4 linked regions of the Arabidopsis thaliana genome follow. The protein of the gene in region 3 interacts with the protein of the main gene of each other region in a pairwise test. Each region holds a gene or a part of one and is shown on either strand. Other genes may lie near its edges.

Region 1 (6,068 bases), on a different chromosome or scaffold from region 3:
ATGGCTCAGATATATATGTGGATGCTAATATTAGCTTTACACAAGTAAGCACACTGGTGAATCCTGAATTTTGGGTTATAAGCAGAGCAGTACCTTCGAAACTCATGTTTTTTCTGCATGGTGACACTTTGTGGTCAAAACTCAAAAGCCTTAACTGCTAGCTGATAAAGCTCTGCAGTAACATAATTTAGGCATGTCCTATGATAAAATAAAACCTCTTAGAGGACATAAACTAGAGAAAAGTTATCTGGAGTCTAGCTGAAAATTAATGAGTTTTGTCCTATTCAACTGGTTTATGTGCCAAAAGTTTACTAAACTACTAGGTTTAATAATATTAGCTAGTAGCATCTTTATCATTATGTATATGATGCGCTTATTCTCTAAACTAGATAATGTGGCATATCGGTTCAAACTCAATTTGATGGCCCCAGTCATAAAACTCAAGTGCATGCTACTGCACTATTTTGCCACCAAGCCATAGTACCTCGGCTGCAGTATTTTTCTATTATAGTGCATCCTTTCATCTCTTATGGTTCACGTTGTTCCTACTATTTCTCCCTTGAGCCATACTGGACATGTCTTAGAAAACTTATTTGACAGGCTATTTTGGGGGGCAAAGTTGTGGTGCCAACACTTTCAGGCAAGATACAGCTAGATGTAAGATTCGTCTCCCAGTGAGATTCATATAATATTTTGTTTGTTTATAATTTGAGTCAAGTTGGTTTTCATCCTCTGACCAAGAGGAAGGTTAGATCTCAAGGCTTTGGAGATAATAGAGGTACCTTATTGTAATTGTTGCAGATACCAAAGGGGACTCAGCCTGATCAACTTCTTGTTTTAAGAGGCAAAGGTACATATAATTATCAGCCTATATGTTCAATTTTTTTTGTGTATTTGCGTGTACTCTTCTTAATAGGTTAGTTCCTGCAGGACTACCGAAGCAAGGCTTTTTTGTAGATCATGGAGATCAGTATGTTCGCTTCCGCGTTAACTTTCCTACGTAAGATTTCTTTTACTTGAAGTTCAAGTAATACACTTGTTGGAGACATCCACATTATGCTATGCTAAAAACTCTACTAGTGTTTAGAATGGAAAAGACACTTTGTTGCTCTAAAGTTACGGTTTTTGAAATAATTTTCCTAGGACAACATTGTGTTAATTTCCCTGCCGTCTGATTATTAAATCTGATTACATAAGCTTCTTGATGTTCTGGTGGCATGTGGATGTGTTGGATTCTCTTCTTTTCATTTCCGTCAAGAGCTAATATTGATAGATTTCTGGTATATGCTTATGCGGTTTACTTTTTTCCTTGTATCTACTAGTGAAGTGAATGAACGTCAGCGTGCTATACTGGAAGAGTTTGCAAAGGAAGAAATCAACAATGAGTTGAGCGACTCTGCTGAAGGAAGTTGGTAAGTAAATTTTATTATTGTGTTTATAACAGCATATTGTGTGTAATATTAGATGGTTAGACGTAAATGGACATCTGGTATAATTCACCTCAAAGGAATGTAGTTGGTTACAATAGAAGAATTAGTGATGCTTATACATTACTGGTACATTTTCTAGGCCTGCTTAGAAATAAGAGTTAGAAAAGGCGGATATGTAGATAACAACAAGACATAATTGAAAAATGAGATACCTAGGTTCTCTTATAAGAAATAACTAGAAGCTCTAAGGGAAACAGTGTAAGAAAGCCAAAATGTCTGTTGGGGCTTTTTCTTTACATTTTGATTCAACTGAATGTTATTTCCTCACTAGCGATTGTTCCTTATAGTAATGAAGAATCATGAATATGAACCAAACAGGCTTTACCAGAAGCTCTCTACTGGTTGAACTTACAGGTGGAATCTAACGGGTCCTCAGATCATCCGCGACTTCTCGTTAATGGTGCTGCTGGCGCTATTGTTGAGCAGGTTAATGGGATGAAGCCACCACGAGAGATGAAAGATAAAAGCATTCAACAGAAGACAAATGAAGACTAATTTCATCTATTGCTGGTAGAACAAAAAGCTCACCAGCATAACAGAGAGTGTCATTGTTTGACCTCATAATTCTATTACAAACTCATTTGATGTGAATAATAAGAGACATCAAACAAGTTAAGCTGAAATAAAGAAAAGAAAAAAAAAAGTCCTTTAAGATTGTGTTTTCGGCATAATCCCACAAGTTTCTCAAACATATCTTCTAATCTACTTGGCGGAGAAATGAGTGCTATGATGTCTTTAAACGAAAAGCCATGCTTCGTTGAGTTTTAACACTCACTTATGGGTCTTGACAAAGAAGATTGTTCTGTCTCCTGACTCTCCTCCTGCTGAATTCTCCTTTTATCCTCGCCAGACTTTATCTCACCATAAAAGTAAGAGACAAAGCCCCAAAGGGAGAGAGCAAGAGAAAGTCCCTTCTCAGCTTGAAACTTTTCATGGTAGAATATAACAGCTAAAACCTCTGTAATTGGCAAAAGCACTGATATCATAATACCCGAGACGAGAGACGATGTGGAGAAGATTAATCCAATGGCTCCCAAGAAGAAGCCTTGCCATATGATGGCTGAAAACACAGCCACCACATAGAACAATGCCTCTCCAAGCTTGAACTCTCTTGCTTCTTTTGGTAAGGCCTGCAAAAACAGTAAAGGGCTCAAGTCTCTGTTAAAAACTCTTTTGTATGTTTTCAGATTCAAAAGAGTGACTAACCTTGAAATCACCAGCGATGAACATACCGATGACGCTGACAATAGAAGCAAGGAGACACAAAATCAACTGGAACTCGAGCACAAGGGTATAGCTCATGGTTTGCTTAGCTTTCTGGTAAGCAAGTTCCACTAATGGCAAGATGAAAGCATACATAACAGCTGCTGCTACAGTAATCAAGAAACCAGTTATGTACTGCTTGTGAGTCTCATGAACTGGCTTATCAGTTTCGGTATGCATTCCCAAAACCGCAGCACCAACAGTCAACAACACAACAGCATTGATGGTAAAAGGAGTGAACTTATGTTTAACCATGAAGAATGAGAAGATAGCTATAAAAGCTAACTGTGAAGCAATGATAAGAGCAGCTGTAGAAACTGGAAGATAAGCTATACCATATGCATACAAGTAGTTATCAAACCCTGAGAGAATGCCTACAATAACAGCGGCGATAAGAAGACGCGGTTTGATAAGAAAGAAACTTGTACTATCACCCACATTGTTGCTTCTGCGCCGGGTAATGTAAGAGAAGAGCAGAGGAATGAAGATAACAGGAAAGCCTGCAGTTTCAAGAAACGTAGAGAACCAAATCCTTTTACCGCCATTGTTGAAGTAGAGACGCATAATCAAAGGACCTCCACAGTTTCCTATGGCTAGAATTATGCAGTTTATGATCACAAGAGCCTTCACCATTCTTGTCTGATTTCTTGTGGATAATGAAGGTTGGTGGTCGAAGGAGTTAGTTATAAGGTTTGGTGTTGCTGTGTTTTGGAACAAATTTGGTCCGGTTTTAGATTCTGTCGTGATAGATCTTTGTGTTTCTTTTTACCTAACGAGGCTTCAATGGCTAAAACATGACTTTTCCTATTTTATACCCATAAATTTTGCTAACTGTTTAATTTCGTATAAAAAACGTAGTAATTATCTTATAGACCAGATAATATCATATCTCTCATATTAATTTACGTTTCCATCAAATTCTACAGTTTTGATTATTGGATTTATTTCTTTCTAAATTTAGTGCAATGACATTAAGATTTTCAGTTCATAATTCTCTCTATAATTAGAAGATTTTAAGGATGGTTAATTGGTTCTTTGACTCTATCTCTTTTGTTTTCTCTTCTTCTTTCTATATTAGTTCTTTGATTTATATACAAATTTTTATATTAAATAGATAAATTATATTAATCTTAAATTAAAAGTGTGAAATGTTTATTTTATAAAATCGATAAATAGGATGTGATTTTATCAAATACGAAATATCCTATCTTTTACTTATCATTATCATTCTATTTCTACTACAAGTGTATTAAAATTTGCATTTATCAAATAGCTCAATATCTTTCAAATTTATTCATACTTATACACAAGAACAATAACAAAACACACAATCACACATAATATTAGGAACAAAACATAACAGTAATGCTCTGTTATAATCCTATAGAGTTATAGAAATTAAGCAACATAATCACTAACAGGAAGAATAGGCAGTTCTGTCTCCGGCGGTTGAGGTTTATCAACAACTTTCTTGCCGGATTTAAACTCGCCGTAGAAGTAAGAGACAAATCCCCAAAGAGAAAGAAGTAGAGAGACACCTTTCTCTGCCTGAAACTTCTCCCGGAAACAAACGACGGCGAAAACTTCAGTCACCGGAAGCAGAACACTTATCAGAACACCAGAAGCTAGTGATGATGCACAAAACACAATCCCTATGGCTCCTAAGAAGAAACCTTGCCATATTATTCCTGTGATCACTATCAATGCATAGTAAAACACTGATCCTCCAATCTTGAACTCTCTTGCTTCTCTTGCTATCACCTACAAAACATGTATGATGATGATTTTAGTTGATTCTCAAGTTTAATCATAATTTTAAATAGATATGGAAATACAGGATAAAGGTTTGAACAATTTTTAAATAATGTTTCTAATAAAAGATAAGGAAGACAAATCATATATATGAAAGTTGGCCAACTCTCTCCATATGATTGACACATCATCACTTTAACATGTGCCATGTGTCCACATAATAATTAATGTAAGCTTTCAACTTTTAATTTATAGATTAATGATGTATTTATTATTTAATTTTACATATTTAATTGTACTAATACTAAATTTATTTTGTTATTACATGTTGTTCAATAAAATAATTTTATTGGTTTTCTCATACTCAGAAGATTTTTTTCTGTAATCTTAACTCAAATTATGAGTGTATAGTAGTCATGGATTAGTTAATAGTTTGAATAGTTTGCATATTGTTATATATCTATATAATAAATCGCCGAGGGTGAAGAGTATGTAAGAAATTTAATCATCAAATTCTTAGGTTTCGAGAATTCCAGTATTACCCTCTATTTAATTAGTTTAAGATGAACATTGTTTAGGAATTGTGTGTATAATGCATTGTTGAGAATGTTGTTAGAAAAAATATATTTTAATACTAAGAATAATTACTTATTACATAAGTAAATGATTAGATAATTAAAAATTATATTTAAATTATACGATACAAAAAATCTGAAAATACCGCAGCGTAGCGCGGGTGATTACCTAGTATTACATAAAACCTTATTGAAATTGTTAAATATTTTATAAATTGCTCAAACCTTTATCTTGTATTTTATATAATATTTGTTTTTAATAAAAGATCAGGAAGACAAATATTACATAAAATCACATATTTTATTATAACCAGGAAATCTATATTAAAATTGTTAAATATTCTATAATATCCATATGTATTTAGAAAATGTTTAAATACAGATACCAATATATCTTGGTTGACTAGTATAGTCTAGTACCAATGATTCTGAAATAATTTCTATATATATAATTGTTTCCATGGATTTTCTCCATTAATAATACAAAAGAACAAATCTTAGTATTCCTCATTTCTTGGGAATCCAGACTAAATTTTGGCCTCTATCATAAAATGAACAAAAAAACTATATAATTTAGAAAAACATTAAAAATAGAGAATCCAAAAACTCAGCTAAAGTCTTCATCAAAATCTGCATAATATTTTTTTTATCAAGATCATCCCATGATACTCTCTCTTATACTAAAAACACAACGTGAAAAAAACTGTAAATTTCTTACCTTAAAATCTCCAACGATGAACATGCCAATGACACAGAAAAAAGTAGCAGCAAGGCACATGACCATCTGAATCTCAAGCACAAGTGGGAAAGTGATTTCTTGACGAGCTTTCTTGTAAGTTAGCTCAACGAGCGGTAATATAAAAGCATAGAGAAGAGCTGCAACCACAGTCATCAAGAACCCAACCACATACTCTTTCTTGCTCTCCTTAGCCGGTTTGTCTCCATCACTGTGTAACGCAAGGATCCCGATACCAACCGTCAACAAAAC
Region 2 (8,890 bases), on a different chromosome or scaffold from region 3:
TTTTCTTCTCTGTTTTTAGTATAAAAGCTTTATATAATTATCATTTTAGAGAAATATAATTAATTCTAAAACTGAAAATTATTTAACGTTGTGTGATTACCTTCTTTTCTTTTTTGTAACTACAATTTTCAAGTAGTCTGTTACTTTCTTTCTTTTTTCTTGTAAATATTATTGTAGAGATTTTGTTCACCGGTAATTATAAGATTATCCGGTTTAATATAGAGAAATGTGAGGAATAAGTCAATCTTTTATTGCATTTATAGATAAACCCAATAAATGCTATAACTAGTAAAAACGGCCATTTATATTGAGTAAAGTTGGATTTTTTATGGCTAAAGTTTAGGAATTTATATTATCTGCCATATTTGCTTACAGTGTTAATTAAAGCTACCAAAATTATTACTTTTGACTTAGTAAAGGAAAATTAATAACGATTAAAAAAACTTGTGTCAACTATTTTATCTGTAAGTTCTGACTAGATTTTTCTAATGATTTTGTTTCCATAAAGTTCTTTAAATTGCAGCCAGTAGCAGGATTCATATCTATAATAGACTCTAGAGGCTCTTTAAATCTTGATCACAAACTTCACAAGTATGACTTTTAATATGCATCAATTGTTTTTCACAAATTTATTTCGACCCCTCATAAGAAACTGTTCTTTTCTTTTTTTGCTTACTCAGAAAATTAATAAAATTTGTAGTGTTAACTAAATCTTATAGGCTTATAGCTAAGCTATTATTTTGTCCAATCCATGTGAAAGATAAGATTTTTAATGTACACGAAGGATAAGTTAGGTATGTCCTAATTCATAAAGATTTAGCTGCTAAGTCCTAACCATATGTCATTGCCTTAAAGTTAATACAGTCCCTACACTAACTCATGCTCCCATGATCCTTTTTGCTTTTTACTTCTTTTGTAATGGAAAATAAAACCACATTTTAATCCAGCGTAAAAAAAAAAAAAATCTTATGTGATGAGTATTTTTTTGATGTTGTGACAAACACGTACATTCTAAAACAATATGAGGTTTTTAGGGTTCGATATTTTGAGTTGCATGTTTATATATATGTGTAATGTGTTGTTCATTTTTCATAGGAACTGAAAATCCCGAAAAAAACTAACTTAATACGTACAATGATTCATTTTTCAATAAAAGTTAGAAAAAGTAAACTAGACTACTTATATTTTTCAAATATAATTAACACTTTAAACAAGGACCAACATATTTAACAATTAGACCCCTACACAAATAAAACTTTATGATACAGTAATCATGATCACGTTTTGTGGACTGAAATTAGGAAATTTAAAAGGGATAGGGACGCAGTTTTGAAATAGACAATTTAATCAGTTTATTTAAATAAAACCAATTTAATAATTTTATAAATTAAAAAGTCGTACCCCAAAATAAACATTTTTAAATGTCAACAACAAACGCAAGCTTTAAATTATTTATTTTTGGAGAAATAACTTGATTGTGAGACCCACTTTTATATTTTTCCTCCATTTTTTTTGTTGTTCTAAAGAGTAAGTTAGGTATTTATGTTGACCAAAAACACTAGCTAAAAGATCATTTTATTCGTTTTTTCCAATCATAAAAAAGAAATTAATTATGTAAATGGAAAATAAAGATCTCAAAATACTACGTGTTTAGGATTAGGAGGTTTGGTGGCTATTATTTTCGGTGACCAATTTAATTATCTGCTTATAATTTAATTTGATTTCAGCTTAGATTCGGTAAGGACTTGAATTATATAATTCGGACAACAAATTAATTGAAATTCGGTTAAGTTATTTTATTTCTCAAAAAAAGAAAACTGGGAAATTACATAGAAGTACCTCAACTTTTAAACGATTTTCACATAAATACTCAAACTTTTTGCTTTACAAGAAAAAGCCCTCACAAAAATTTGATGATCGTTATCGCAAAATTTCCAAATCGTGTTCAAGTTTTTTGACTCTTTGAATTTACTTACAGACAAGAAATCGTGGTTTGTAATGTTAGAAGACTATATATGCTCAAGAAGTAACACAATACAACAAAGTTTCCAAAACAAGTCTAAGACAAAACCTCATCCAAAAGATTGAGAGAATCCAAAAGAGGGCAAGAGAGAATCTTGGCTGTGTGCATATGTCTTCAACATAATCAAAATGGTATATATTATCAGAAAACTCTTTTGTCTTCTTGGCTTTAGTTTTGTACTTTTAAATAGACTGAGAAACTAGAGTTTAAGAGCAATGCTAAAGCTTTTCTCTAGACCCATTTTCACAGGTCCTCCTGTGATGCTTCCTTTCTGCATCATCGCCACAAACTCGTTGTAGTCTATTCGCCCGTCCTACAATACAACAATTCAAATGTTCAACATTATCAACATTCAACCAATATATCAATCCAAAACCGACATGAAAACTCGGTTTACTTCACTGTTTCTCAGGAAAGAGAGTTTCTACTATCCCCCTAGGTTTAACAAGAATCATACTCAATCGTCTCAGTTTTCCCAAGAAAACAGACATGAAAACTCGGTAAGTGAAGTGTAGTTTTAATAATGCAAGGATTTAAGAGGATCATATAAGTGAGATTCCTATGAGTAAAATGTATATAATCCATTGAAATTTGATCATTGTTGAGAAGTATTCAAGTCATTTTATAATTAGGATGAGATGATAAAAGGTGTAAAGGAACTTACATTGTCTTGATCAACATCGCGCATCAGTTCTTCTATGCGGACATCCTCAACACCAAACTCCTCACAAGCTTGTTGAAGCTCGTCTGGGGTGATATAGCCGCTCCCATCTTTGTCAAAGTATGTAAAGGCTGCAAACAAATGGTCCTCTCTCTCTATTTTGTTTAGATGTAATGTTGCAGCTATGAACTCTTTGTAATCTATTGTTCCGCTGTTGTCCACATCAGCCTGAATTATATACACATGAGAGAGAAACCAGATTACTTGCATATCTAGCAAAAACAGAAGTATATAACCACAACCAACAGAGTAAGTTTGAATGATAACAAGATCAGTTCAGAATCTTAGTTAGGGAACTGGTATGCCGGTTAAAACTTACAGCTTGCATCAAGTCGAGAATTTCAGACTCTTTGAGATTCGCCCCTACTCGTTTTAGTCCTGCTTTCAGTTCTTCGAAAGTTATCTGACCACTCTTGTCCGCATCTATCATATTAAACATTTCTTTCAAGCCGGCGATTTCTTCTTCAGATAAGCTCTCAGCAATGACCTGCAAAAAGGCATAAAGAGAGAAACTTAATCTCCGTCGTCTCTTTCTTTCCACATAACAAGAGGAAGATGGGTTAAATGTAGCTATCTTATGTTTATGACAGGAACTTCTTTTATATGGTTTTAAATTTTGTTTAGCATCGGAAAGCTGCTTACTCTAAGAGCCATTTTCTTGAACTTGTTCATTGCAGAAAACTGCTTCATACGGCTCAGAACAGCAGAATCCAAAGGCTTGTCTGGAGCCACACCGTCGACTTGAACCCATGGATGACCTGAGAAGAAGCACAACTCCATAAGAGATAGAACGATGGTAGATCACTCTACATGACAACACACTTTATTCATGTAGTGAAATCTATGCTCAATGGAATTAACAGAAAGAGAATCACAGCGCTTTAACTGGAAGAGAAGGTTTCAGATCAAAATAACTTACATAATACTTGGTGGGCAGTTAACCTTTTCTTGGGATCCCTGACAAGCATTTTCCTCACTAAATCCTTTGCACTTTCAGATATACTTGGCCATGGATCGGACGAAAAGTCAAGATCACCGTGGAGGACCTGTTCGAAAATACCTTGTTCGGTTTCTGAATGTTCAAAGAAACAAAAAGATTAGAGATGTTGTTCAGAGCCTAGTTAGGAAAAGTGACAAATCTCTTATCTGTATATATACAATTCTTACCAGCCCAGAATGGAGGAACTCCGCTTAATAAAATGTACACAATCACTCCAGCACTCCAGACATCAGCTTCAGGGCCATAACGCTTTCGAAGAACTTCTGGGGCAACATAATATGGGCTACCAACAACATCTGTAAAAACATCGTCTGCAAAGAGGAAGGGAATCGAGTTCAGAAATAATTGTTCGACAAGGATCACACTATTCACGTTAAAGACCAAATCTGGAAGTGGATCTTTTAAGATGAGTAACAATGAAATCAAACCTGGTTTAAAGAACATGGAGAGTCCAAAATCAATCGTCTTCAAGAGGGAATCTTCGTGTTTACTGACAAACAGAAAATTCTCGGGCTTGAGGTCTCGATGCATAACACCAAGAGAATGGCAAGCCTCTACAACCCCAACAATGGTTCTAGTGAGCTCAGCCGCTTTCCTCTCTGTGTAGTGACCGCGTTGAATGATCCTGTCAAAAAGCTCGCCGCCTGCACAACACTCCATTACAAGGTGCACTGCCACAACATCCTCATAAGCTCCTTTGATGGAGATGACATTAGGGTGACCAGCCAAGTGATGCATTATCTGAATTTCTCTTCTCACATCCTCAACGTCCTCATCAGTCAATAGCTTCCTCTTAGCAATCGACTTGCAGGCAAACTCCTTCCCCGTAGTCTTCTCGACACATAAAAAAGTCGTCCCAAATTGCCCTTGTCCGAGTTTCCTTCCCAAGGAATAGAATTCCTTGAAGTTTTCAGTCTTCCTCTGCAACACTGACTCAGTCCTAAGCCCTGCACTTGACACTCTCTTCATGTGTTTAGGCTTCTTAGGTTTAGCTGGAGGATCAGGTTTTGACTCCGGCTTGGTCTCTGACTTGGTCTCCTGCTTAGTCTCTGGTTTGGACTCAAGGCTTATCTCCTCTAGCGTTTCAGGCTTGCTTTCAGTTCGAATCTCTCTGTCCTTGGTCTCGACGTCAGTCCCTGGCTTCGGCATTGTGACCTGTTCAGGAGGTTTATTCTGGACTTCATCAGATAATCGAGATCGAAGCTCTCCCGAAACAGCTTCACTTGCAATATCTCCATTACTCATGGAAGCCGAATCATCTCCATCTCTTGGCCGCCACATTGCAGCTGAAACAGATTGCAAGAAGCCATTTCTGCTTGGTCCAACACAAGTATTACCCATTCCCTAACTTGTCTTAAATCTCTTTCACCAGAAATAGCATCAAGATCTGATTACAATAACCTCAAAAACAATCTAATCTCATTACTAATCTGATAAAAGTCAAATCCTTTCGATCTTAAAACCATCAGACATCAAACCTCGGACTTCTCAGACGATTGAATTTCTACACAGCTGAACTGATAAACCCAACTTGGATGAGGAGAAACAGCAGAGAGCTTGCTTATACAGAGGTGAGAAATAGCAAGAAAAATCAAAAGGGTATCGGAAAAATCATGACTTGAAACAAACCCAGAAAATAGAAAGTCACAATGAAGGAAACCAAACAGAGAGTAGAAAGCATCCCCAGATAACAACAACAAAGAAAGAAACAGAGAGATCTGAAGAAGAGTAAAGAGAAAGAATGAGAAAATAAATTGAGTTGGGTGGGAAAATAAAAGGGATAGTTTAATAGCACTACACTTGCATAAACCGTAGGGACATTTGTTAATTTAATGAGAGAGTCAAGGTCTGTATAGAGAAGAAGACGATGAAGAAAGACGAAGAAGAAGATTGAACCAGTTTGAAAAACGCGTTTCTTTTGTTTTGATTATCTATCACCGCCGAGTTTTCCGCTGAGATTTGTCTTAACTCTCTTTTTAATTAATCTTTGATTACAAAGTCCACCACCCTCTTCAATCTTGGCAACGCAGCTTCTTATGTAAGGGTACTTAATTAGTAATATATTAAAACTTTGAGGTAAAAAGGTGATTTTCCATAAAATCAATTTCCTTTCTGGAGTCCTAATAACATCCTTTTTATAATGGTCCCATCATTTACTACTTTTGAAAAATATAACCCGCAAGTGAAAAATGCGCAAACAAAACCCACATATTAAAGAGCAGTCATTAAAAATAAGACATCCACATGTTAAAGCTTGAACAAATCACATGCTCTACACATTCTTGTCTTCGCCCTTATGTTTTACCCTAATTACTCCTTCCGACCACAGCTATTATTGAAGATCAAAACCTAGACCAGAACTAATATTGTAGAGACGGCGAGTTTGGTGTTCTAAACATCATGATCACCACTTTCCATTGTTTTTGCTGGTCCTAACGGAACACTCAAGCACCCTTCCTTTTTCCAGTAGATAAGCCAATGAGATGTCCCTACTGCAATAGAACGGTATGAATCTCTGGACACTCTGTTATTGATTTGATATGGAAAGAATGCTTGCCTAAAACAAAAACGAAGCTCACTATTGTTATCAAGAGATGGTGGTTTGAATCAGTATTTAAGAAGATATGATTTGTGGCAAAGACGCTCACTATGATGTGTATGAGACTTGGTTTGATGTAGTGCAGTATGTTCTGATAGTAGATTATCAATCATCACAACAGCGTTTTTTGGTGACAAAAGTCTGTTCATTGCCTCTGCCACGTCCTGATCAAGTAAACATCCAAGGACCTCCAAAAACAGATGATCCTTATTACAGAGATTCTCAATCTTTTCCGTACTTGTTCCTTGATTGATCCTTTTCACTATGACGAAATTAAATTGACAACTGTTTCCATATCTTGCTATGAGGAACAAAATTTCCTAGTCATGACTATAAAATGAAAAGTAACCTATTCGGCATTCTGTTTATGACACTAATAGAGAACAAGTGTGGGAAAGGGAAATGACGGTATTCAAGTGTGTGTCTTCCATTGACCGGAAAATAAGGTAAGAAAACCCTCACCTTTCTTATCATGTGTTGCGCTTGGAAATGGAAGAATCTCTTTATGCTTCTTTTCGCCACCTCTAAATCCTCCAACTGCATGAACACAATTCTATATCAGATATATGAGTGTGCACCATCAACTAAGTAACAGTCCAAAACCATCTAACTGACTAATGCGCGAAGACACCTACATTGGCTCAATCTTTGGCTGACCAGGTTTTCTGTTCCTAGCATCAAATACTATATTCTCGAGAAAATCCATATTGCTAACACCAGGGATCTCAACTGGAGTTTGGAGACTCAAGAAGAGAACCGCAAGAGATCCTTACATATCATGCAGATGCTCGGCTTTAAACACAATGATTTATGAGAGGGGTACGAGTAGAGATACTCTAGGAATCATATGTTTCAACAACATGAAGATTGAGAAACTTACCTTGAAAAAATGTGTTCATAAGCAAAAAACTTACGAGCCTCAACCTTTCATAATATTAGTTAGGAAATATCAGCAATGATGCAAATGATTCACACAATTGGAATTAGTTAAGCTTGTCAGAAATTTTAGCTAATGCTCTCTTAGTACAGAAATAATATCCAATAGAATCACGGCTAACAAACTTCACAACGTCTATATGTACTAGTGTTTCATTAACATGAAAAATCTCTCCTTTCTTCCACAATTCAACAATCACAAGCACTTAAATCCCTAACCTCAATCAAACGGCTCCTATTCCCGTCATCATGATCCGAGGATGGAGACAAAGTCGACAGAAGAAGAATCGGAGAGGAAAAAGGAGAGCTTTTTACGGCGGTGGATACACAGAGCAGCGACTCAGAAACCTCGCGAAGGCTTATGAGGAAGATACAGTAGAAGCGTATTGAGCAGTTCAGTGTTCGCAACGGAGGCCATAGAGATAGACGAAGCGGCGGCGGGAGGCGGAGAATCGCCGGTTTAGCGTGAGATAAGAGTCGAGGAATCCGATTCTCCCGCCTACTGACACGTGTCCAAGGTACGTTAAAGCAAGTACGATACTTTTCAGTAATAAAAAAAAGTAAGAAGTCAAAAAAGAAAGAAACTTTTTTAAAAAACTAAAACGACGCCGCTTTGTTCGTCGTTATGCATCATTATGCAGTGTAGACTGGTACAGATGTTTTGTGGAAAAACGTGAGCCAACCCCACGTCCCAATAAAAACAACACAAAACCGCATCAACGTCTTTTAACACTCTCTCTCTCTTTCTCAAATCTGCTTAAAAGCGTTTATTAACTACTCTTTATTTTCTCATATAAAAATTCTCAGCGAAGAAGAATCAGATATTTTCTGGTCTTGCTCTGCCTAACTCTCACATGTAAGTTCTTCTTTCTTCCTCCATTCTCTACTGTTGAATCTTGCCTTTTTCCTTACCCCCAATGTATGCTTCTTCTTATTTCTTGTTTTCTTGGCTAGCTTGGTTCTTGGTTTCTTGTATGAGGCTAGTAGCTTTATAATGATTCGTTTGGAAAATAAGAAAATGAGAAAGTACTTCTTACGGATTCGTGTGCTTATTCAATCTTTTGTTGAAATTCGAACAGTAAATCTTAAAAAGCTTGCTTTTATTTTTGCTTTTTTTCTTCTTTCTTGTCACTGATGAATAACGAAGTTGCTTTTTTGTTTTCTTGGTTGGCTGCTGATAAGCACCAAGGTTTCACAATTTTGGGGGTTTCTTTTTTAAGCTGACAAGTGACAAGTCTTTCTTATCTTGAGTTTCTTCCGTCTTTGTTGTTTTGCCAGAGTTTCCCCTGTTACGAAGATGAGCAGAGATTCAGTAAGAATCGTTGGGGTTCTTCTATGGATGTGTATGTGGGTTTGTTGTTATGGGGATGGAGAGTATCTGTTGTACAAGGACCCGAAACAGACGGTGTCAGATCGAGTTGCGGATTTGTTTGGTAGAATGACTTTGGAAGAGAAGATTGGCCAGATGGTGCAGATTGATAGAAGTGTTGCCACTGTCAACATTATGAGAGATTACTTCATCGGTATGTAAAAGAACAATCTTTCTTGGAGATTTCCAGAAATCTGATTACTTACTTGCTTGGCTAGTTTAATTGGTTCATTTAAACCTTA
Region 3 (8,979 bases):
TAAAATTGAGTGTCTAACGAATGAATCTTATCATTAATGTTTGATATTTTTCTCTACATTCACGAATAATTTCATTCTTTTGTTCTGCTATGTTTTTTTGTCTTGCCAAATTCCTTACCAAGTTATGTTATGTTTACGACACCAATACACTTAATAGACAAATGTTGGCTGTCAAAACAAAAAAAAAACAAAAAACAAATGTAGTCCCAAAGTACATTATTATTAGCGATAAAAGACAGCCAGAAGGGGTAAACGGGCCAAGAATGAGGCCCATTAAACAGAAGGAAACAAATAGTTAAAAGAATGAAACGTGATTTTAATAGGACCTACACGTATTAAACGCTTTTTATCGTATTGTTTAGCTTTTTCTGCTGTAGCATTACGGGTTCACCACCAGTGACTGGCTGTGATTTTAACTAGTTCAAGAAATTTTTAAAAATACTAAGAAAAAATATGTAAGCTAGCAGAAATATAAAAAAGATCTCATAAATCTATTTTTTTCTATATAAATGATCATCAAATGGGAAAAAATTAATACAAAAATAGCAAAAAGATTTGTTGGTTGGTTTGTGTTTGGAAACAGACATAGATAATGTAAGGCCATGTGATGGATAGCATTATCTCACACTCATTTAATGTCGTAGGGTCGTGATTGTGAAATGTCGTAAATAACCCAACCCTTTCTCTCTGCACGCAACTTCGACGTTACATAGATTTGGTATTTTAGGTTTTCACATTTCCCCATCCGTACACCCCATGTTACGACTTACAAATTTTTAATTAGCTTTCAATGACACAATTTTTAATAATACAAATCATTCTAAACTGATTTTAAAATAGTAATATTGAAACAATAGTTTTATATATGTTGGTTAACGAAGTTTTAGGCTCGAGTTCCTTTTAGCCAACGCATTTTCTGATACTCAAAAGTTGTTTATATTTGGATAGTTGATAAATGCTACACGAACTAAAATTTGGTAATGGACGACGACAGTCCATAATTGTTAACGGAGTTTCTTTGTAGGTCCTTAGACAGCATACATATGGTTCTTTGCGTATTTTTCTCGTCAACGAATTATATTTTTCAAACTAATCACAAATCTAAGGATATAGTTTGAATGTTATTTTGGTTCTATGTTCTTGTCCATTTTTTATATGATTATCTCCACAATACTTTATTATTAGTTACATTCATATTTCTTACATCATACTAATTCAGAAAGAATCAACTCCACAAAAACTAGAAATGTGAGGTAGGGTTTGGAGTGTGTCTAAACTTCAAGTGGTACAAAAAAAAGTCGCATCATTTTATGGATTCATTGACAAAGAAATATCATAGAACTACTATTCACGTGAAGGTCACGTGGATCATTCTCTTCAACTCGACGACTATTCCATAATACCAAAGAATAAAGTTTTTCCCTTGCAAACAAAACAACGTGTACAACCTCAAAAATTATGTTCCAAAATAAAATACGAAAAAAACTCAATAATTCAGCTAAATTCGAACCGTAGCATAGCATGTGATACTGATACTACGACAGTCACGTCACATTTTCATATATGTAGAAACTATATACCTAGTTGAAAAGTTTGTACAGTAGATTAGGTTTCTAATAAATTTGAACTCATTTTGGATTTTATTATTTTAGTAAATTTAAATTTATTATTTGGAACGTTTCTTACCCAAATATGTGTTACATCTCACTTTGATGGACGCATATAAATATTACAATTTGTTTTTCATTTTTTTGTCACGCTCTCTCTTATCTCAAACTTCATTTCGTTATAATTTTTCAACTTCTAAATTATCTTGTTTACGACAAAGTAGAGTTTGTCATTATCTCTAATCACTTCAATACTGTCAATCTCAGCTCCATCTTCATTCGTCACCATCGTCTCACTTCCATCAAACCCAAACTTCTCTCCTGTTTTTAGCACATGCACACCAAAACCCGGTTAGCTCAATAAACCAAAACCAATTTGAACCGGTTTAACACCATATAACCTAAACCGTAATTTGGTGTTTAAACTCTAGTCACTTGTGTAATTTGTATCTTTACCTGCAATTTTCTTGAGGTCATCAAGTGAAGGAGGAAGAAGAATAAGCTTCCCAGCTTCATTGCAACTTCTTTCTCTCCTCTCCAATGGATGTCCTCTGTAAATACTCACTCTTCCTCGTTCTTCTTCTTCTTCTTCTTCCACAACTCTTAACTTCTCCAATGGTGTGAATTCATTATGTGTATTCACACAAACTACATCTGCACCGTTCGTCGCCAGGAGATTCACCATGTCCATCTGATCCTCCGCCATAGCGACCTGTAAAGCTGTGACGCCATGGTGATCCTCTGTGTCGACGTTAAGCCCCTGTTTTAAAAGAGCCTTCATGACTTCTACATTGTTCTGTTTCGCTGCTTCACATAGAAGATCTCCAGCTATGTGTGGATCCGATATGGCTGCGAAATGATAAAGGATTCTGAATATCTCGTAATGCTTCGATATTATTGCTTCCCATAGAGCACTATTACCATTCACATCTGCAAGATTATGATAAAATCTTGTTCTTAAAACATATCAGTAGAACATAAAACATAACGGTTCTTAAGTATGATGTGTTTACCTCTTATGTGGATGTTGCAACCGTGCTTTAAGAGTACTAAAACACAATCTTCATATCCTCTAGAAGCTGCTACATGCTGAAACATGAATATAAGACGACGAATTAACGGCTGTGATGATGATTATGAGTAAGGGTTTTAAATGGCTTATGGTGAAAGCAAAACGTTACCAATGGAGTTTTTCCTTTGGAATCTGTAATGTCAGGGCTTAACTTAGCCTTAAGTAGCTCATCAAGAAGAGCTGCATTGCCTGTAGTCACCACAGCGATGAGATTTGAGGCAATGTTAGGAGGAACAACATCGGTGTTTTCGCCATTTTGTTGTGCCTTTAGATCACCAATGTCTAAATTACTCAGCTTTTTGTGATGCTGCAAGAAGTTCTTGAGCATTGTGGCATTGTCTTGTTGTTTAATCTGCATTGTCTCAATAAGGAAAGATGTTTTGAGTCGGAGAAGCTGTGATAAAGACTTAGTTTGAAAAGTGTAGCTTTGTGGTCTGCAACAAAGTGCTCCAACTTCTCCAAATATGTCTCCACAACGTAGAGTGCCTAAAACAGACTCTCTCTCCATCTCTGAATCAATGATCTCAACTTCTCCTGACACAATTATGTAAACATCATCCGGCGCTTCGTTCTGCATAATGACATCCTCTCTTGGTGGTATATACTCAGCCTTCATTTTTGAAACCTAATCACCAAAACCTCTGTTTAGAAAACTTATCCAGCAAGCCAAAACTCAACCAATCATGTCAGAAAATTAACTCACCAGAAGAAGAAGTATTTCTCTTGAGACGCCTTTGAAGAGGTAAACTTTTTCAACAGATGGAAGAAAAAGATGTTGACAAATGCTTTTGTAGATAGATTTTGGGAGCTGGTCAATAAGATGTTGCTGATTTAAGCTCTCTGCTTTAAACCTTAAACACATGTAAGCTAATATCTGGTCTTTTAATCTAGGAGGCAATCTGTTTCTGTTAACAAAGTTTGACGCTGCTTCAATGCTATTCCTCTGCACCACCACAACAACAACATAAGATCTTCCTTGAGCAAACTATACAAACAGAAAAGACTTAATCTTGTATAGAGCGTGAGACTCACAAATTCCATGGTACGACGAGTCCCTTCCACGACCAAATTAGTCATGTTACCAATAAGGTAAGCAGTGAGGCCAAGATTGAATAACATGTAGACTGTTATGAATACCATTTCAATAGTGTTGCTTGCATGAAGATCTCCATATCCCACTGTGGTCATTGTAGTGATAGACCAATATATAGCTGCAATGTATCTGATGGAAAGACTTGTCTCTGTGAAATTAGGGATCGCATCAGTCCATGTCTTTCCTTGGTGTGGATATCTGTCTGCTATTAGGTAATAACTGCATCCAGCACAGTGCACTAGAAACAATGTCACCTGTAAAACACTCAAACCTCATCATGTACTGCAACTACAAAATCTAAAGAAATGTGATCTTGTTCCTTCACTTATAAGTTATTTACTCACTGATAGAAGTCGAAAGCAGCGAATCCAGAAATAGCTATATCTTATGTCCTTCTCGAGCCTAAAACAACACCAAAAATAGAATCATTTTGTTACCTTCTTGATCAGAGACATGACATAGAGTCATAGGGAATTAGTGTACCTAGTGAAGAGGTGTTTAACTCTTCGAAGTCGCCAAAATCTAAGTAATCCCAAGAGATTACAAGTGATATTTAACGTGGATGTGCCAGTGATTAAGTATCCAATAGCGTCAAATGGTATAGTTGATGCAACATCCATCAAGAACCATGTTGATAGGTACCTTTAATGAGATATTAAAATAGCATTAAGCAAGAACTAACACATTTATTTAAAAAGCTTTCTTTTCACCTAATATATATAAGTAGAATCTTTCTGTTTATTCCAAAAACAGAAATCTATCTAACTGATTATGAAAATAAAAGAATCACATGGTGTGGGCTCAACAGTCACCTAAACCTTGTCTTCTTCCACTTAGCTAAAGATATCAGATCAAATAAAAAAGGTGAAACTAAGATCATGAATAACAATCACTGACCTCACTGCAATCTGTTTAGGTTCACGGACAAGAAGCTGTGTTCTTTCGTCTATGTAAGCAACGAAAAACGTCAAGACAATGTCAACCGCGAAGAACAAGTCTACGATGTTGTCCGCGATACAAAGGTTTCTCTTTGGTGATGAATTCAGAAATGCAACTTCAAAAGGGTAAACCCACGCAGAGTATGCCACTAAAAGCACCATATAAAATTCCCAGCACCTGAATCAACCATTTAACTTCTTTACGTTATCACTAATTCAAGCATTCTTTTATGTCACTGAGATATAAAGAATGTATTTTTCAGGTACTCTGTTTCATCAATATGGATGGTACCTGTATCTTGAGTCCATAGGTGAGATGATCCATCCACTAGACCTGATGTGATTCTGGTTATAGCTAGCAACACCAAGTGGAGGAAGAATAAGTTTTGACAGATTGTTCAAGCTGAGAGAAGAAGCATCATACTCTTCTTCTCTTCCTTTTCCTCGATGCTGATGAAAACGCCTGAGCTTCATGTCTGAGGATAAGTTGCAATGAGATGCTGAATACTTGAGGTCCATTATATTTCTCCTGAACAAAGAAAATTTAGCACTAAGAACAAGAAAGAGAGAGGGAGAAAGAGGTTTTAGTAGATGATATAATAATTGTAATGAAGAAGGAGTTTGTGGTTTGTATGATGCAAACCGTACGTGGTAGTGGTGGTCCTATTTGTTAAGATTGAAGTGAAATTGGGTAAGCTTTTGTGGGGAACACAAGTTTTAATTTTGGAGGGATCCAACACAATCAATAAGGCAAAAAAAAGTTGATTGATTTTATGTTTTGGTGATAAGGTAATGAAGTGTGAAAGATGTGGCCCCAAACGATAGAGAATTATGCCAAACGTGGTATAATTAGAAGCCTTGAGGGTCCCAATATATCTCTCCATTAACAAATTTAAACTCTATTGAGAATCTAATCAGAAGGAGATTAATTAAGAGGAGGACATTCTAATGCTTCGAGAAAACGTTGTGTGCACTTATTAACATTTGACTAGCGGGAATGTGAAGCAGAAGAAAATGAGAGATAAAGGAATTAGATTCTAAACCGGGACCACTTTTAGGTGAAAAGAAAGCTGATATATATATTTCCTTGTGTGTGTAGTCATCGTCGGTATAGTATTCATCTAGATTGATCATATATTCTTGAAATACCTTTAGAAACAATCAAATGGTTAGGTTTTAAGAAGAAAAAAAAAGACAGGGTAAAGAGGGATGACATTGTAATTGACCGACCTGTTTGTCCTCTGTTATAGGAGAAATCGTCTTTAAGATCCCACTAAGTATCACACTTGCTACATTTGTCTAAACAATTTGTTTTAAGTAATAAGAGCAACATCTATTGGTGAGAAATTAAAAACGATTGATTCTTCAATAATTAACACGGGATCGTGGATTATATTTTTGGAGTTAAGTGATTCTCAAAATCATTACACTAGAGACTAAGAATTTGGAAGTCAATTCGAGTATATTTAAAACCTGATAATAGATTTGACGAATCACCCTACAAGCAGGCAAATTGATGTCTCCGACGATCGGAAACAGAGCACAGGAGAGGACACGTGGAAGACTGACGTTCAGTGGCGGGTTTCTATTTTTTTCAAAAGCGCGCGAAGAAGATAAGAAAGGGACAAAGGCAGACCAAGTATGAACCAAGAAAGTTTGCAATTCGACCCTTTAATTTCTGAATATATTTAATTCACCCTTAATTCTCTTAAAAAGATTTCAAAAGACCTTTTCAAATCTAGGACTTGCCATTTTAAACGGAAAATTGTCATTTAATAGTCTAATTTTCGATTGACAAAAAAAGAAAGAAAAAAAACAAACAAACAGTTATTAAGCTTTAACAGATTTTCTAACATTTTTAACGATTCTCTTAGTCAAACCAAAACGATGTCATTTAAGCTCTAATCGATTAAAAATTAGATCTAATGCAGGTCTCGTTACGTATATTATACAAAAAAAAAAATTAGTGTTATCGTTGACATATGTGATAGTGAGTATTTTCAATATTTTAGACTCAATGTGTGTCTCGTTACGTATACTATATAATAAAATTCGATTTTATTGATGCTAATGACAGATGTGATTTTCAATATTGGAGAATCATTTTATTGTAAATATGTTGACTGAAAGTTATTTGATCTATTTACTCATCTACATATACATTTTTGCAGCACTTTTATGAAATAAATCCTCAAGTTGAGATTTATTTACCATCCAATGCCATTAGCATTTAATATTTTAACAAATTTCTTCTCAAATCCAAATATAAATCAATTTTGTTACTAAAATTTAGAATTAAAATAAATATATCACAACAATCATTTAAATCTTTCCAAATCTAAAATGTACTACACACTAATATTCTTTTTTAAAGAGATCTATTAGCATTAATGGTATATTATTATTGATATATTTTAACTTTATAAAACATTATTAATATTTATCCTTATAAAAAGATATTAAAATATTATGAGACGAGTTATATAGTGGGACGGGTTTGCATTGATATAACGCGGGTTAAATCTTTATTTATTATTCTATCATCACTAATTTTTTTTTTACAATATTAATATAAAATTATATAATTTTAATACTAAAAATTTAAAACCTTAAAATTTAAGATTATTATATATATAAATAAAATATTTGCTCCGTGGTATACCACGGGTTAAATCCTAGTTCCAATATAAAATTGCATAGTGATGTTTTCTTTAAAAATAAATACAAATAACATAAATAAATAAAATAAAATAAAGTTACATGTTTGAGCCTCTCATTTTCCCTTCAGTGCTATAAATTCAGACTCCTTCGCTAAATAAATCACAAAGCGGAAAAAAGAAAGAAGAATTGAGAGATATCTAGTGTTTTAAAAAAAAAAGAACTGAGAAATCAGCAATGGGGAGCTTAAGAGTGAGCACATTTGCTGTTGCAGTAGTTGTATGTCTCTCCATCCTCCTCATGTCTCCTACAGGTACGTAAATTTAGTTAAAAGAAGATTTAGAATAAATACATGTTAATGAAATGTTGCATCTTTCTATATATGGACTGGACACAAGTAGATGGGCGTAGAGTGTGTGACAGCGCAGCGGGTTTATGTAGTATGTTGTTCTCTTGCAATACACAATGCAATTCATTGGGCCGCAATTTTACTGGAGGCGAATGCTCAGATGCTCGTTTTCCTGGTTTAAGTGTCTGTTATTGCTGCCATAATGTAGAGAGCAGTGCTGAAATGGAAAGCATGTGATTGCAGATGCTAGAAAACGACGTCGCTTTGTGTGTGTGAGTGTGTGTGTTTTGCTATTTGCATGTTTATGCTTTCATTTCATCACATCATATGTTTTGAGTGTTTTGCCTTGTACTCTGTTGTGCTTCTGTTTGTTTTGCGTTGTCAAGTCTCCAATAAAGTTGGAGTGTTTCCGTTGACAAACGTTTTTGTTAGTTCTTGTTGTATTTAGCTAACCAATGTTTTTAGATTTTTTTTTCTCTTTTTCTTTGTGTTAAACACTAATGTACATGTTTTTGTTTTCATAAAGTTTGATGCATATTAGTTAAAAAGGGGTTACTTGTTTGAACATACAACAAAAGTTAAAAAGGTTACTAGTAAGCTAACTAAAGTCTTACAAATGTCCACTCTAGAAACAAAACCCACAAATTCACAAAAGACGGTTAGAAGCCCAACTAGTAGAGACCAAAAAGGTAGTAAGCCCCACAGGAGTAATAAGCCCTGTCAAGATGAAGGGAGTGACGAGGAAACAGATAGCTAAGGGTCACTTGTTCATCGAAGATTTTAATCGTGGTTGAATCAGGTTGACCCAATGATCTGGTGATTTAGAAGATAGTCCAACTTAACGCTCGAATCAGGTTTAAAAATATTGGTTTATGTAGTATTTTCTTGAATCCCATATAGTATTTTTACTTTTGGTAAATAAATGTATTATTGAAATATTTAACATGAGGGTCTCGTTACATATATTATATAATAAAAATATTTTATTGATGCTATCGACATGTGATGGTGAGTATATTACATTATTTTAGATCAAATGCAGGTCTCGTTACATATATTATATAATAAAAATATTTTATTGATGCTATCGACATACAGTTAGTGAGTATATTTCAATACTATAGACCAAATAATAGGTAGGTGAGTGGATGCCTGGATTAGTGGAAATATTTTAACAATTATTATTCTCTTACGCGTGGAAAGTTTTAAATTACTAAAAAAGGTAAACTTGGATAATCATTTTATTGTAAAGATATTGACAA
Region 4 (7,059 bases), on a different chromosome or scaffold from region 3:
ATCCCCACAAGCAATCTGCTTGATCCGAATACCGTGCAATGCTTTGATTGGTAGCGGAGTAAACAAGTCGCTTGAGTTACCATGGCCTAATCTCCCAAAATCACCCCTGCAAAGTACACATAAAGGTTAGAGAACACGAGGCTTAAAATATGTGCAAATGAGTGTATAATTAGTTACTGTTTTCTACACAAAAATCTAGAGAGGAACTAGTGGTCATCATCTCATCCCGAATATATCAAACAGACTGAAGAGCAATTGATTCAGCAGCAAAGAAGAAGATAATGATGAGAAACAAACCATCCCCAACTGTAGACTTCCATGCCTGATTGTGAATAAGCAACAGTGTGATCAGCACCACAGGTAACGGAAACAATTTGGTGGCCATCTAAAGCGCTAAGCTGAGTCGGAGAAGGTCGATCCTCTGCATCGCCATGACCTAACTGTCCATCCTCTCCTCGACCCCAAGAACAAACAATGTCACCAGCTACAAAATCAAAACATAAAACTACTCATTAGTAGACGACGAAAGTAAGGGAAACTCGATTAAAGGCCAGATCAAGAGAATTCGCGAAGAGCACAGCCTACTAAAGCAGCGGATTTCACAATTCCGGTGATTATTTGAGTCCGTAATAGAAAAGGAAAAAAAACAGCGAAGAAGAAGAGAGACGTACAGAGAAGAGCGACGGAGTGGCTAGCACCAGCGGAGATGATAAGAACCTTACGAGGAGGAGCCGTAACTTCGTCGGCAGCCATATCCTCCGCCATGGATCACAGTTGCAGTTTTCACAAGATATTTTTTTTGGGGAGAAATGAATTTTGAAAAAAGTAAGAAATTTCTATTTTTTGATAAATTGGGAAATTTTGTAGCTTCTCTTTCACTATCCGTAATCTCTCGAGGGTTGAACAAGGAAAGACAGAGAGAGAAAGCGGTAGATGGTAATAAAGGCGCGATGGAGATTTGCACATGTCATATATCTGCTTTTTGACTTTTTTACTTTTGCTGGTTTTTTTATTTTTTGTTTTAACCGTACAGTAAATCTCTTTTTTGTCGTACAGGCTTTAATTGCAAAAGGGTCCCTCTTCACTTAATAAATCCAAATACGGACCTCACCGGTAAAGTTTTATACTTTCATAATTTCACCATTTCTTTTTTTTTTTGTTTCTTGACCATTTCATTTACCTCTTCACATAAGTAGATTTAAGCCAGTACACATGACATTCTAGATCGTAACTTGTGTTTTATGTGTTCATCATTCACAGGTGTAAGGCGCATAGATCGTAAGAGCCTAATCATATGTTTTTAGTCATGCACACGTGTGAAAGTATACACGTTAGTCAAAAAAAATTCTGAGTTTCATAGTCCAAAGTGACATATCCAATTTGTCTTTTTAGTTATAAATATTCAGTTCAGCTATTTTAGTTTTTCAAAGAGGTCAAATTAAACCTGGATTACAATATGGTGTACAGTTTGTCTTTTTATTATGATTCTGATTATCATATGAAGATACGTCTTGCTACATGTTATTTTATTCAATTATTCAAAATGCATGGTTCTACATATGGAAATATACAGATATACGGTCTACTTACAACTTGATTTTTTTTTTTTTTGTTAAATTACAACTTGAAGATTCTACTATCAACAAAACAAAAACAAAAAAAAATCTTCTATCGATCGAGCGAGATATTCAAATCAAAATACATGGTCAACAGGTCAACTATAGATTCAAAATATATGAATACCTAAATATTCAAATTAAGATATATCAATTCACGATCTAAAACATCCAAATATAGATTTTGCGAAAACGGCCAAAGAAATTATACATAACGGATAAAAATAAATAAAAAATTACATACGGATACTACTTAGTAGTACTTACTAGATTACCTAAAACCCATAATCTTACATATACATATGGATAAAGGTAACATCGATGAATTACTTGTTTCATCCGATCTGGAACGAATATATCACCTCGCTCGACCTAACATTTATGTGAAACTAAAAGGTTGTTTACATTGAGATAAAACCAACATTATATGCTTGTCAGTGAGGGAAGTTGTGACATCTATTATAGTAAGAAAATTAAATGAATGAAGATATTTTTGCATTGCCTGATACATGCATTATATGTATTGTCCAATTTTGGCATTAAAGTCAACGAGACAAAACTCTAGATCAAGATGGTCTCTAATGTTGACATTTGTTGCGACCTCTTTCAAATGGGTTCATCTCATCATTCATCACACAAATTTGTTGCATTATCTTTTATAATCTTGTTAAATAAACATCATTACGAACAATTTGTGGAAAAATGGAAATTATATGAAAGCCATTGGAAGTACTATATACAATTTAATGCACATGACTTCAACAGAAAATACTAGAGAGACAAGATAAGACACCTATAATAATTTAAGCTTGACATGAAGTGCTAAACAATTACTGTTTAGAGACATATATGCACATGAAACTAGGAAAGAAAAAACATTGCGGTGAGTACATGTCAATGATTGTCGATGAACAAATTACAAAACAGTAAAAATCAACACCCACCCACATGGGTTCCGGTATAAGGGTCAAGTTTGGCGATAACACAAATTTTAGGGTTTGCAAAAATGTTGTAACCATAATCGGTGATGAAATATGGAAGATCATGTGAATATTTAGATGATGAAACTATTTGGCTGAAAAGACAGTTAACTTTAAGCTTTATTACTTGAGATGCCCCGTGACAGACAACGAATGACCTTGGAGAGAATCACACAGATGATGCTAGAGGTAGCTTTAATGTGTTATATTTGCGAATGAAGATGCTTCACGCTCCTGTCGAATTCTTCTCTCTTTAGAGAAAGAACAGACCATTATTAGTTTAGCCCACTCAAGAGAAAAAACCGAAAACAATTGCAATAAATGCTTCAAAGTGCAATAAGGAACCATAAGATAGTTAGCATCAACCTCCACTTCATACTGTCTTTTACAAGAAGACATACATTCATCTGAACAAATTGCTACCAAATTCGGCATTTAATAAGCTGTCTCGTTACTTAGGATTTTCATAACCACACAATTTTTTGTTGGATAAGATTCTAGTAATGTGTCAATATTTCAAAGGAAAACTATAATGCCGACAGACACATAACTTGATCCACAAACTTCCATTGGACTAATCTACTACTCGATTTATCATTCAGTTAAAAGCAATTCTATACAATGAAAGTTACTGCAAGTTTGACCTCTCAAGATTTAGGCTAACCTGACAAAACAGAGCAAAATCTTACAAGATTTAGGTTTAAATAAGACGTGTAGGAACCAAGAAACTAAGAACTACATGAGATTTAAGATGGTTCTTATTTCTTCATCTTCCATACATAACTTAAATGTGAATTCTACAAATGATTTTCTTCATCTCTTTTCTTTACATTTGATTCCATTTTATGTTTGCAAATAATGAGCAATCACAACAACTGTAAAAAACATCAATTCAAGATACTCCTTTTCAGCTTCGGTCAGCTATTTGGTTGTTCGTTATTGGTGTCCATTGCTGACTTATCCATCTCATCATCAGAATCAATGACATTTTCAAAGTCATAATATGGATGCGCCTGCACATTTAAAAACCGATGTCGCTATGTATGTGTATCAAAGAAGTAAAACAACTCGTTGGTTCATTATCAGCATCGTAAGTTAGTTACCTTTGGTCGCGGTTTAACAGCTTCGAAACTATGAAATTGAGGATCCGAGAAATCAGGCGCCTGCAAAATAATATATGCTCCTTTGTTTTTGTACCTCTCTTCTGTTGCCTACACCACACACAAAAATGATTGTTAACGCATATCTTTAGAAAATGCAAATACCAAAGGCGTAAAAATACATACTTGGAATTGCGGATAGTCAGGTGCACTGAAAATAGTGATAAGCTTTCCGGATTCGACATTGTGGTCTATTGTATATCCATTGTCCATTCCACCAAGACCAGTTCTCTTCTCTCTAGCATCTGGACCTTCATGTGATCTGATGATCAACTGCACCAATAAGTGTAAAACATTTGATCCAATCATCCATATCAGTATTTGGGAAGCAAACAAGCATCAATATCTACTTTGGTGTCACCTTCAGTTCATATTTCTTCAAAAAATCCTCTGTACAATCGGGACCCCAAAGAAGACCAATGCCTCTCTGTTCATTTGGTGAAAGGCCCGGAGTCATTGAAGGATCAGACCATAAAACGTCTCCTGGTATCAAGTTTGAACCTTCCCAAGGAGGATCAAGAACTGATCTTCGAGCTTGCATCAACTCATCTAAGGTACCGAGTTTCATTGAGCTCGGCTCAGGTTCCAGAAGAACTACCCGACGGTTCTTTTTCCCCCTTGTTGTTCGCTTAGGCAAGACTGGGCTGCGGAAAAGCCCTCCATGTGCTGTATAAACACGTCCAGAAATTATGGAAGCCAAAGGAAGACCTTCAAAGCAACCCAAACATTTCCGGTACACATGTTTTCCCTTGTCTCCGTATTTTGTAAGCACTTCCTTCTCGAAACCATACATAGATGTACAATACTTTGACTCATGATTACCACGGAGTAGGTAGACTCTGTCCGGCATCAAAACCTAAACAACCAAAAAGATATGTGCTTTAAGAATACTAAGACTTGAGCCAATAGTAAAACAGCTTAGTAAAGAGTTTACCTTCCAGGACAAGAGAACAAGGAAGGTTTCAAGTCCCCAAGCACCGCGATCCACATAGTCTCCGTTGAAAACATAACACCGGTTTTGACAAGGAAAGCCAGTATCTTTCAATAGGAAAAGAAGGTCATGAAGCTGACCATGAATGTCACCAACCACAACAACGTTGGATACAGAGTCAAGATCATCGATATGAACGCAGTTACGTTCTTTGTGGAGGATTTTATGAGCGGTGAGGACGAGGGAATCAAAGACGTTGACAGGCAATAGTGAAGGTAACTGGGAAGGAGGTAGATTCCATGAAGACCATTCGAAACACGACATAAGCCCATGTACCCAGTCGTTAGTGAGAGCTCCCCCATCTGGCCATGTAATGGGAGATGGTGGAACAGTTTCCATTAAAACTGTAAAAACACTAATCTATAATCAATTCCAGAGTATGAACATGTGAAACAAGAGTATCAAGCAATCGAAACATAGACAAAGTTTTCAAATTTCAGCGATCAAAGCCACCAGAACATAAAATCGAATCTGTATATATTCATTCGTACATCTTTAAACTCAAGAGAAGAGCAAAAAGTACAAAATCGAATCATGGGAAATCGAAATCCATATCACAAAGAATAATTCGGAACAGAGTGAGACTCACCGGCTAAGAGTGGAGACAATTTACAAAATTCCAAAGCTTGGATCTTGGACCTAGCTAAGCTAGCTTACTTTGCTTTCTCTCTGCTTTCAGTCCCGACACCGTCGTCGACGAGATTTAGGATCTGTCTGGCTTTGGATCCATTTACTCAAACGACGTCGGTTAACCAGCTAAAAGGATTCAAATCAAATTCATGATTCCAAACCGGCCGGTTTAATAAACGAACAAACCTTTTTTGTCGTGACGCTGCAATAGCGTTTTGCAATCACGCGCTATCGAAAACGCGAGTTCGAGATTTTGTTAAAGGTGGCCAACCGGTTTGTTCTGGTTTTGATATAAACTTGAACAAAATTGGGAGACCGAATTATACATTGGTCTATTCGGTTACTTATCGATTTCAGCTTGATTTTGTTTACGGTACTATCCAAGGAATTTTTGTTTGGTTTCGATTTTTTTATTTTTCAGTGTGGATGAAATCAAACCGACTAAAATCGGTTCGATATCGATTTTTACATTTTTTCGGTCCGGTTCATGCTTTTCCTCTATTTTGAGATATTTGTACTGAAAAGCAGAAAGAGAGAAGAAACACAAAAATTGGACTTTGGTTTGAAATTGGCGACATTTTTGGGAAATCTAGAGACTAATAATCAATTTCGTCAAAAGATCAAATCTTGCTAAATTTTCTTCTGCTCGTTTGATTTTCCGAATCGTTGGTTTCGATAAGTGAAGAAAAGATGGGGAATTTGTTCGTGAAGAAACCACAGATCACGGAGGTTGATCGAGCGATTCTCTCTCTCAAAACCCAAAGACGCAAGCTTGGTCAATATCAGCAGAAGGTTTTTTATTCTCTCTTCTTATATCTTAATTTTCTTTTGTTACAATTTCTTTTGGAACCCAGATCATATAGTTTTGATTCATCCAAAATCCTAATTGGAGATTGGATTTGATTCGTTTCACAATATGTGTCTTATGATTGTTAGTAGTGTGATGGAAAAGAAAGACTCAAGCTTTTGAGTTCTTTGGCTCATCTCTTTGTTAACCGATCTTCTCATTTTTTTTGCTAATTTAGCTTGAGAAAGTAATTGAAGCGGAAAAGCAAGCTGCAAGAGACTTAATCCGTGAAAAGCGAAAGGACAGAGCTTTGTTAGCATTGAGGAAGAAACGAACTCAAGAAGAGTTATTGAAGCAAGTGGATCAATGGGTCATCAATGTTGAACAACAAGTAAATCCTTCTCCTTGTGTGTATGTTTTGTATCCGGCATCGTCTCTTTTGATGCATAATTATGGCTTTCTCAAACTTTCATGTGAACTCGCAGTTAACAGATATTGAACTTACGAGCAAACAAAAGGCAGTGTTTGAGAGCTTAAAGCAGGGTAATAGTGCTATTAAGGCCATTCAAAGCGAATTGGACCTTGATGATGTTCAAAAACTAATGGATGATACTGCTGATGCTAAAGCTTATCAAGATGTGAGTCAAAATACTTTCGGGTTTCGTATCATTTGTTTATGATTCATTATTACGTTATCCGCTTTGTCAGAATGTAAATATCTTCTTATTTGATCACTGCTTTGTGTGGCACAGTTTGTTCTGAGCTCGTCTAGTGTGAAAACCTCTATAATCTTTTTTGTCGAGCTTTTGTGTTTGATGACTCTATTTACATTTCCGAATGTCAGGAGCTGAACGCTATATTGGGAGAGAAACTATCAGCAGAGGATGAGGAAGAT

Evidence for each region.
Region 1: the proteins of KT2/3 (region 3) and PUP3 interact in a protein complementation assay, tested with the Arabidopsis thaliana proteins (one large-scale study listed by BioGRID).
Region 2: the proteins of KT2/3 (region 3) and CPK1 interact in a protein complementation assay, tested with the Arabidopsis thaliana proteins (one large-scale study listed by BioGRID).
Region 4: the proteins of KT2/3 (region 3) and PP7 interact in a protein complementation assay, tested with the Arabidopsis thaliana proteins (one large-scale study listed by BioGRID).

Annotation. Positions count from the first base shown.
Region 1 is NC_003070.9:9,858,049-9,864,116, forward strand, and holds PUP3 (purine permease 3), read right to left. Parts: upstream 3,521-6,068; 5' UTR 3,387-3,520; coding exon 2,697-3,386; intron 2,621-2,696; coding exon 2,255-2,620; 3' UTR 2,243-2,254; downstream 1-2,242. Other genes in the region: ATJ1 (DNAJ heat shock family protein), read left to right, coding at 1-44, 601-657, 802-850, 931-1,000, 1,323-1,412, 1,845-1,929; PUP1 (purine permease 1), read right to left, coding at 4,152-4,514, 5,799-6,068. UniProt on the Arabidopsis thaliana protein: May be involved in transport of purine derivatives during pollen germination and tube elongation.
Region 2 is NC_003076.8:1,414,793-1,423,682, forward strand, and holds CPK1 (calcium dependent protein kinase 1), read right to left. Parts: upstream 5,763-8,890; 5' UTR 5,086-5,762; coding exon 4,173-5,085; intron 4,056-4,172; coding exon 3,912-4,055; intron 3,817-3,911; coding exon 3,664-3,816; intron 3,503-3,663; coding exon 3,387-3,502; intron 3,232-3,386; coding exon 3,064-3,231; intron 2,913-3,063; coding exon 2,688-2,912; intron 2,337-2,687; coding exon 2,223-2,336; 3' UTR 1,772-2,222; downstream 1-1,771. Other genes in the region: AT5G04885 (Glycosyl hydrolase family protein), read left to right, coding at 8,274-8,305, 8,558-8,802. UniProt on the Arabidopsis thaliana protein: May play a role in signal transduction pathways that involve calcium as a second messenger. Phosphorylates the Ca(2+)-ATPase ACA2 resulting in the inhibition of its calcium activation.
Region 3 is NC_003075.7:11,744,863-11,753,841, forward strand, and holds KT2/3 (potassium transport 2/3), read right to left. Parts: upstream 5,837-8,979; 5' UTR 5,230-5,836; coding exon 5,003-5,229; intron 4,889-5,002; coding exon 4,670-4,888; intron 4,415-4,669; coding exon 4,256-4,414; intron 4,175-4,255; coding exon 4,117-4,174; intron 4,027-4,116; coding exon 3,712-4,026; intron 3,623-3,711; coding exon 3,383-3,622; intron 3,305-3,382; coding exon 2,789-3,304; coding exon of another isoform or gene 2,723-2,788; exon of another isoform or gene 2,697-2,722; coding exon 2,621-2,696; intron 2,538-2,620; coding exon 2,064-2,537; intron 1,929-2,063; coding exon 1,804-1,928; 3' UTR 1,628-1,803; downstream 1-1,627. Other genes in the region: LCR85 (low-molecular-weight cysteine-rich 85), read left to right, coding at 7,606-7,681, 7,767-7,954. UniProt on the Arabidopsis thaliana protein: Highly selective and weak inward-rectifying potassium channel. Plays a role in both loading and unloading potassium into/from the phloem sap. Seems to control sugar loading into phloem via a voltage-dependent process.
Region 4 is NC_003076.8:25,557,823-25,564,881, forward strand, and holds PP7 (serine/threonine phosphatase 7), read right to left. Parts: upstream 5,495-7,059; 5' UTR 5,337-5,494; intron 5,103-5,336; exon of another isoform or gene 5,092-5,102; 5' UTR 5,087-5,091; coding exon 4,691-5,086; intron 4,613-4,690; coding exon 4,118-4,612; coding exon of another isoform or gene 4,103-4,117; exon of another isoform or gene 4,030-4,102; coding exon 3,883-4,029; intron 3,808-3,882; coding exon 3,700-3,807; intron 3,610-3,699; coding exon 3,514-3,609; 3' UTR 3,248-3,513; downstream 1-3,247. Other genes in the region: UVR8 (Regulator of chromosome condensation (RCC1) family protein), read right to left, coding at 1-106, 298-484, 672-765; VPS20.1 (SNF7 family protein), read left to right, coding at 6,068-6,169, 6,403-6,555, 6,650-6,802, 6,937-7,059. UniProt on the Arabidopsis thaliana protein: Phosphatase active on para-nitrophenylphosphate (pNPP) and on various phosphoproteins such as myelin basic protein.